Linked DNA regions of Macaca mulatta. The protein of the gene in region 2 purifies or fractionates together with the protein of the main gene of each other region. This does not show direct contact. Links are inferred from orthologs where the notes say so. Each region holds a gene or a part of one and is shown on either strand. Other genes may lie near its edges.

Region 1 (4,476 bases), on a different chromosome or scaffold from region 2:
ACCAAAGACATTTGCGTAGTAAGAAATACTTGTCCAGACATTACATTAGAAAGGCAAAAAAAAAAAAAAAAAGACTTTATGATTTAAAAAGCATACCTGGATCAATGATAGCCAGTGTGCACACTCTGTAGTATTTTCCGCATGCTGTGCCCAGTTCAATATTATTTCCACTGTAGTGATGGACACCAGTTTTAGCCAACATTGCATAGTACTCTATTTCAGATTTCCTTTGGGAACCAAAAAAAGGCAAATAAATAAATGCAATACCAAGTGACTGACAGACTAAATGTTACTACTTCTTTTACTAGTGTTAATGTTCTTAAGGCCTTCAAAAAGTAACAAAATCACATACTACCCTTAAAAACATCATATTCATTATCCAATATAAACCAACATTTATATGTATCCTTTGCAAGTGAAGGGGCAACCAGCAAATATCTACTCAACCCCTAACATGTTTAAGACAGTATTAATACTCACAGAAGACGGTAGGATGCAAATAAACAAAAGCAAAGCATTATTTGTGCAGTGGCACGATCTTGGCTCACTGCAGCTTCCACCTCCCAGGTTCAAGTGATTCTCCTGCCTTAGCCTCTCAAGTAGCTGGGATCACAGGCATGTACCACCACACCCAGCTAATTTTTTGTATTTTTGGTAGAGATGGGGTTTCACCATGCTGGCTAGGCTGGTCTCGAACTCCTGACCTCAAGGGATTCGCCCGCCTCGGCCTCCCAAAGTGCTGGAATTACAGGCATAAGCCACTGCACGCAGCCCTATTCTTTTTTTTTTTTTTTTAATCTAATGAAACTGAGCCACAGAATAGTAAGTGGAGGATCCAGAATCCAAACCTTTAAAAAATAAGCCATTTCTATCACTATCCCCCATTGCCCAGAATTCTAGACAGGGAGTGACACCGTTTTAAAGTTAAAATTTCTGGCCTCATGCGTGTAATCCCAGCACTTTGGGAGGCCGGATCATTTTGAAGTCAGGAATTCCAGATCAACCTGGCCAACATGGTGAAACCTTGTCTCTACTAAAAATACAAAATTTCAGCGTCAATTTAGTAGACACTAATGGTTTTAGGAATCGGAAAGGAGTCCTATACTATCTTGCCACTCAATTATGTAGATCCACATACCAGCAATAGTGCTACAATGTACTAGTTTAAAAAGAACCTCAAGCTGGTAGCTCAGGCCTGTAATCTCATCAGTTTGACAGGCTGAGGTGGGTGGATCACCTAAGGTCACGAGTTCGAGACCAGCCTGGCCAACATGGCGAAACCCCATCTCTACTAAAAATACAAAAATTAGCCAGGCATGGTGGCGGGTGCCTGTAATCGCAGCTACTCAGGAGGCTGAGGCAGGAGAATTGCTTGAACCTGGGAGGTGGAGGTTGCAGTGAGCTTAGATTGTGCCACTGCACTCCAGTCTGGGTGACAAGAGCGAAACTCTGGCTCAAAAAAAAAAGCACCTCGGGCCCCATCCCAAATCCAATGAAATCAGAACTTGCATTTTAACATTACCCATGTGACTCCTTTGCACAGTGATGTTTCAGAAGCACTACTACAGAAGACAGGCTTTAAAGTTTCAAAGAATGTTTGGGAAAAGCCCAACCCATGGGACGAGACAGAAAGGGCCCTCCAGGCTTTGACAATAACTAGACACCCTATATAAAACGCTGTAAGCAGCTTATGCATTACCACAGAAAATTTGGTCACATGGTTTATATTCTGCAAGGTCCAAGTTTCTTTAGCTTATTTACAACACCCCCTAAGTTCAATTTCAGAACAGTGAGTCAAGCATAAACCTTGACTCAGAACTGATTTAGTGGGCTAAACTAGGTGATTCTATGATAGCCTGCAACGCCATGGCCCAGCCTCAACTTTTCTTACCTAGTTTTTTGACAATAAAACAGGTTCACACAATGAAGCATCATTAGACACCTCAAAGCTAAAAGAACCAAAAAAGCAGAACACAAAATATATGGAAAAAACAAATAATGTGTCTGTGCTTCCATCAAACCCCAATGTCCTGTTTTCACTCCTCCTGCCACACACACGTTTCTCCCCCAGAAATAAGCTCACAGAAGGGGAGCACATGATTTGGGGGTGGGTGGGGGAGACGGCAACGAAGGGCCAAACACCACAATCGCTACCATAATTATCCTGCAAGTGTTCGAGTTCATGGTACTCAGATTACAAGTTTACTCTCCTGTATATTCGTTCACGATGAATTCGCGGTAGGCGACGCTCGTTCAGGTTCTTCGATTACCTCAAAGCTGGGCAGTTGTTAGCGAGAATGACCAATTTCGCTTTGCCTTGTCTGATCATCTTCAGAGTCTGCTTGTACCCCAGGACGTACTTCCCACTTTTCATAACGAGTTGGAGCCTAGAGTTGATCGACTCCAGCGACTTTTTCTACAAAGCAAACATTAAACACGGACCTAAGGGCCTCGTCTGCAACCACTTCAAAACTGGACCCAGCTTTTTGAAGCCAAGCCTCTTAACTTCCGAAGTCGAGGACCCCCAAGTCATTGAGAGGGCCACTGGGATTCCCTCTGGGGCCCTCCAAATGCCAGCAGACATGCTGTCACCCCAGTGGGCTCACATCTGCCCGCCCCGGCCGAGACATCTCTCCACGTGAATCGGCTTCCGGGCCTGGCCCGCCTCACTCACCGTCTTCTTTGCGGCCACCATCTTCCTGCCTCAGGTGCGGGACGGCCCCCAAGCTAGAAGAGACAGAGGACAGGACAGGAAGTTTAGGATCCGGAGTTCCAAATGGCAACCCGCAAAGCTCCCCGCGCTGCCTAAACCTTGGTCAGCAGGAGCCCACTCACCAAAAGCAGCCACTAAGATGGCCGGGGAGCGAGAAAGGAAGGAGTTCCCACAATGCAAAGCTCTTCACGGCAGAGCCGGAATTGCAGGACCGGAAGCGGAAACAGATCGCAAGCAGAAGGGGCGGAACAAAAAGCGGAGGGCCGCTGCGGGTTGCTATTGGTACCGCTAGCTAGAATGGCTGCGGGAGCAGTACGCGGCGTCTCATACCTTTAATCCCAGCACTTCAGGAGGTCGAGGCGGGAGGATCTGTTGCGTCCAGCTCAAGGCCAGCCTGGGCAACATAGTGAGACCACCCCCGTCTCTACAAAAAATAAATAAATAAATTAGCCGGGCGTGGTGGCGCGCTCCTGTAGTCCCAGTTACTCCTAGCTCCGCCGGAGGCTGAGGCGGGAGGATCGCTTGAGCTCTGTAGGTCGAGGCTGCAGTGGCCGTGATCGCGCCACTGCACTCGGCCTGGGCGACAGAGTGAGACTCTGTCTCAAAGAAGGGAAAAAAAGAATGGCGGCGGGGGTGTTCGCTTTCCCTCTTTGCGGGCCTTTAAGCTTCTCGGCGTTGTGTTGCTGTTGGTCTTGGAGCTGCGATCTAACGAATCGAGGAGCTTAGAACCCGGAGGGAGTTGGAAAAGCAGACTGAAGGTGAGGTGGGAGGGTCGATGAGAAGAGGCTGCGGCGGCTGCGACCACGGTCTTAATGCGACTGAATTCACCTTTTCCCTGAGGCGCGGCTCTTGGAGAGCCTTGTGGATGACTCCGCTGCGCCGCAGCCCCCGCATTTACTCTCCGCTTGGTAGAAGCAGCAGTGTCCTCACCCCTGCGGTCACGCAAGTTACCTGTCCCCTTCCCCTGGAGAGCTGTGGCGCCCTGCGCGAGTTTCCCAAAATTCGCCTTTTGTGTCTGTGTTAGCGTGAACTTGTGAGCCGAGTTTGCACTGAGAGCGCGAAAAACAGGTCTAATTTTTAAAAAGTATTTCTGCTGTTAACGCTGGATCTTGGTATAAATGTCCAGAGACAGACCACTGAAAATATTAGGCGCTGAAAATCCCCACCTAATCAATCAGACCAGTGGGTAAGCTACGTGAGGGAAACCTCTTCCCCTCCTTAATTAAGCCTCACCAAAAAACGCGTGCTGTACCAGGAATCATTTACATATATGTATTTAATACTCACAAAATTTCCATGAGATAGTAACCCTTTTATTGTCCATTTTACATATCTAGGGCTGTTGTCAGAGCTAGGACCAGAGCCCAGGTAACTTAGGTCTCTTCACAAAGTTGATTCAGGCCGGATGCGGTGGCTCACACTTGTAATCTCAACACGTTAGAAGTCCGAGGTGAGCGGATCACCTGTCAGGAGTTCGAGACAGTCTGGCCAACATGGTGAAACCCCTTCTCTACTAAAAATAAAAAAAAATAGCCAGGTGTGGTGGCTCGTGCCTGCAATCGCAACTACCTCGGGAGGTTGAAGCAGGAGAATCGCTTGAACCTGGGAGGCAAAGGTAGCAGTAAGCTGAGATCGGGCCACTGCATTCAACTGCCTGGGTGACGAAGCGAGACTCCGTCTCAAAAAAAAGTAAAAAGGCCGGGCGGGGTGGCTCACGCCTGTAATCCCAGCACTTTGGGAGGCCGAGGCGAGCGGATCACAAG
Region 2 (4,342 bases):
ACAAACATGGTTTTTTGTTGTTGTTTTTTTTTTTTGAGACAGAGTCTTGCTCTGTTGCCCAGGCTGGAGTTCAGTGGCGCAATCTCGGCTCACTGCAAGCTCCACCTTCCAGGTTCACGCCATTCTCCTGCCTCAGCCTGCCAAGTAGCTGGGACTACAGGCGCCCGCCACCTCGCCCAGCTAATTTTTCATATCTTCAGTAGAGATGGCGTTTCACCGTGTTAGCCAAGATGGTCTCCATCTCCTGACCTTGTGATCCGCCCGCCTCGGCCTCCCAAAGTGGTGGGATTACAGGCGTGAGCCACCATGCTCGGCCTGGACAATGAGCATGCTGCTCCAGTGTCCACATCTCTGGCCACAGCCATGTGCTCATGGCTTGGCCCGTTTGCTGAGCCAGCCCTGTCCTGGTCACATGCATGGAAGACAGGAACAGCTGCCCCAACAGCTCAACTTCCAAACAACTCCCACCAGCTCAGCTGACACCAACAAAAAACCATCTGCCCAACAAAGAGGCAAGAAGCCTGTGAACATCCCTGGCACCCGTAGTCCCTGCCCCCAGCTCCTTCACAGAAAGCATGCGGTAAGAACTGCTGACATGAACTCAGTTCTCCAGACACCAAGCTTCAGAGGCAGGGCCACCTAAACGTCCACTGAGAACACAGGGTGCCCCCTGCTGCCCTACTCCTGGGAGTGTCTAGAAGCGCCCATGACATGAGCCCACTGGAGCCCTGCTCACTCCTCAGGTGAGGCTTCTAGGGTGCTCTGGTCCACAAGCGAAACCTGGCAGGCCACAGACGGACCAGCAGGGATTAGGATGGACCATGAAAACAAATGAAAGCCCCTCCACATCAACTCACCCTGGGCAATGACGTCTTCAATGTTTTTTCCATTCAGCTCACTAATAACCTGGAGCAGATAATCACACAGCTGTTACCAGGAAAGTGCAAATGTATCCCTGGCCCTATCCCTTCCAGAATCACAGCAGGACTGGGTCCCCCACAGAGGAATACGCCCTGAAGTTTCTAGACCTGCACTGCCCAAAGGGAGCCACCACCCTCGCTTGGTAAGTGATATAAAAATAAATGGACACTAGGTTTCTTAGACTTAGGACTGAGAAGGGAACACACGATGTCTCACCGCTTAATGTTGACTACTCACAGGTATCTTCAACACGGGCAAAATAAGCTGTCAATGAAACTGACTTTGACTTCAGGCTGGAGTGCAGTGGTGGGATCTCACTGCAGCCTTGACCTCCCGGGCTCAAGCGACTCTCCCACCTCAGTCTGGGACAACAGGTGTGAGCACACACACCTGGCTGATTTTTTTTTTTTTTTTTTTTTTGAGACGGAGTCTTGCTCTGCCGCCCAGGCTGGAGTGCAGTGGCGGGATCTCAGCTCACTGCAAGCTCCGCCTCCCGGGTTCACGCTATTCTCCTGCCTCAGCCTCCCAAGTAGCTGGGACTACAGGCGCCCGCCACCTCGCCCGGCTAATTTTTTGTATTTTTTAGTAGAGACGGGGTTTCACTGTGTTAGCCAGGATGGTCTCCATCTCCTGACCTCGTGATCCGCCCGTCTCGGCCTCCCAAAGTGCTGGGATTACAGGCTTGAGCCACCGCGCCCGGCCTTGATTTTTTTAATTGTATTTTAGAGACAGGGCTTGGCTCTGTGGGACTGCAGTGGCACCATCACTATTCCATGCAGCCTTGACTTCCCAGGCTCAAATGAGCCTCCCGCCTCAGCCTCCTGAGTAGCTGAGACTACAGATGTGCACCACTGCCTACAACTTTTTTTTTTTTCAACTTTTTCTGGAGACCAGGTTTTATGATGTTTTCCAGGCTAGTCTTGAATTCCGAGGCTCCAATAATCCACCCGCCTTGGCCTCCCAAAGTGCTGGGTGAGCCACTCGCCAGGACTGCCTTTTTTGTTTGTTTTTTAAGGAATCTTATGCATCTCACTTGTATTAAACTTCCAAAGCTCATTAATCACGACTTTGCCTCGTACCCCTCCAGCTTTTTATTTTTTCCTTTTGAGACAGGGTCTCGTTCTGTCGCCCAGTCTGCAGTGCAGTGGCATGATCTTGGCTCAGTGCAACCTCCATCTCCCGGGTTCAAGCGATTCTCCTGCCTCAGCCTCCCAAGTAGCAGGGACTACAGGCACCCACCACCACGCCCGGCTAATTTTTGTATTTTTAGTAGAGATGGGGCTTCCACATGTTTGCCAGGCTGGTTTCGAACTCCTGACCTCAGGTGATCCGCTCGCCTCGTCCTCCCAAAGTACTGGGACTACAGGCGTGAACCACTGCACCTGGCCCCCACCCTGCTTACTTCTCTACCCGAGACATCGCCGACTGGACTGAAACAAGCCTCTCCCCGAACCCTCCAGCATGTGGCCGGATCAGGCAGAAAAATCGCCTGTACGGCGCTCTACGGCGGCTGCGGGGCAAGGGCGGCAGCTACCTTGTTGAGTCGGTCGTCGTCCGCCTCGATGCCCACGCTGTCCAAGATCTTCTTGATGTCCTTGGCGCTGGGGGAGGAGTTACCCCCGAGGGCAGCCAGCAGGTAGGAGGCGACGTAGCGCATTCTGAGGCGGGCGGAGAGGGCGCGACGGCGGTGTTATCCCGGTGGCCTCCGGCCTGCCCACCCCGGGGCCGCCGGACGAGGCCGCGTGTGGCTAGACCAGTAGGCCTCCGTCCCGGAAAGACCCCGCCGCCCACCTCGCATGCCCGCGGACCCCGCGTCCCCAGCCCGCACCCCGGGCCGGGTCATCACACTCACGCGGCGGCGTCTGCGGCGGCGGCGGAGAGGCCTCACGCGTGCGACTTCGGCGGTGTCAGGGAGGAAAAGGAAGGCGCCGATGCAAGGGGCGGGGGTAAACCGCTACCCAGAAGCCTCCGGGACCCGAGCGGGGCGCCGCATGAGGCGCCTCAGAATGGCGTCACGAGGCGCTCAGCCAATGACGATGGAGGAGAAGCCATTGACACTTCCCCCCCGGCCCCGTCAAGACAGTTTCCGCGGCACAGGCGAAGGCCAGTAGTTCCGGAAGTGGCTGCTCTTATAGCGTGGGGCGAAGGTCCCCCGAAACTCGTGGTGGCGACGGACGAAGCGAGCCCAAAGGGACGGCATCTGCCTTCGGTACCTAGCGCTCCCAGCATGCCACGCGGCGCCTACAGCGCCCAACATGCAGCGCGGCTGCCACGCCCCGGACGCAACCTTCGCCCGCGAACTGCAAGTCCCATGGTGCACCGCTGCCGGAAGTGGCCTGCGCCGCCGGCCTACGCGGAACGGCACGTGGGCCCGAGCGGGGGCTGCTCGCGGTAGGCTCGCCCTGACTCTTTGGTGGTTCCCTGGCCGCGGCGACCGGTGGCCCCATGTCCAGCCGGGCTCAGTGAGGTGAGCCAGCCGCCTCGGACTTAGCGACTGCAGCCCTACCTGGGAGGCCACCCCCGTCCTGCGGGGCCAGGGCGTCCTGCCAGAGGACGAGCGCGAACCTTGGAGGGCAGGACAATGACTTGAGGCAGCGTCGCCCACTCACCCCTGGGAGGAGTGAGGTCCGAGCGGTCAGCCCCTGCGCTGGCCGCTTCGGCCAAGAACTGACCTTGGTGTCCATGTGGACATAGCACATCAGGGGACCCTGCCACATTCTCGGGTCCTGGGAGGGAACAGGGTTGGCCGTGCCTTCTAAGGACTTCAGTTCTTCTGCGAGGACGCAGGAGGTGAATAAGGGGGCGATCCGAGGGATAGGGACAGAGCGCGAGTTGGTCTGGGCAGCCTGAGAAAGTCTAAGCTGAGAGATAAGGAGCCAACCCTGCCAATATCCGGGGCTAGCACCAGGAACAGGGGGTCAGATGCAGGTACCTAAGGTGCTAGCAGGCAGCGCCTGCTCCCGTGGGGCTCAAACAGCAGTGCAAACCCTGGGATGTGTATACATCAAGCATTGGAACTCGACTTCACCGTCGCCTTCTGTGGCCTCGGTGTCATTACCCCCATTTTATAGATGAGGCGGTTGGGTACAGAAAGGTTTTCTTGCTCGAGGTCACACATCTGGGATAAAGGCGGGAAAACATCTTGCGAACAATGTGACTTTTTAATTTTGTAATTTTTGAGACTGGGCCCCATTCTGTCGCCCAGCCTGGACTGCAGTGGCTGGATCACAGCCCACTACAGCCTCAAATTCCTGGGATCAGGTGATCCTCCCACCTCAGCCTCTTAGCTGAGACCACAGGCCTGTGCCACCACACCTGGCTAAAATTTTTTGGTAGAGACAGTGTTGTTGAGACATGGGCTCAAGTGATCGTCCCACCTGCACCTCCCAAAGTGCTGGGATTACAGGTGTAATCCCAGAGT

The links.
Region 1: the proteins of RPLP2 (region 2) and RPL30 fractionate together in Homo sapiens (co-fractionation; 3 studies listed by BioGRID and IntAct, with this or other methods). This does not show direct contact. The link is inferred for Macaca mulatta from reciprocal best matches to the Homo sapiens genes RPLP2 and RPL30.

The regions. Positions count from the first base shown.
Region 1 is NC_133413.1:108,419,541-108,424,016, forward strand, and holds the start of RPL30 (large ribosomal subunit protein eL30), read right to left. Parts: upstream 2,874-4,476; 5' UTR 2,836-2,873; intron 2,728-2,835; 5' UTR 2,696-2,727; coding exon 2,675-2,695; intron 2,417-2,674; coding exon 2,271-2,416; intron 228-2,270; coding exon 97-227; intron 1-96.
Region 2 is NC_133419.1:702,928-707,269, reverse strand, and holds the start of RPLP2 (large ribosomal subunit protein P2), read right to left. Parts: upstream 2,816-4,342; 5' UTR 2,774-2,815; intron 2,580-2,773; 5' UTR 2,579-2,579; coding exon 2,456-2,578; intron 907-2,455; coding exon 858-906; intron 823-857; exon of another isoform or gene 689-822; intron 1-688. UniProt on the Homo sapiens protein: Plays an important role in the elongation step of protein synthesis.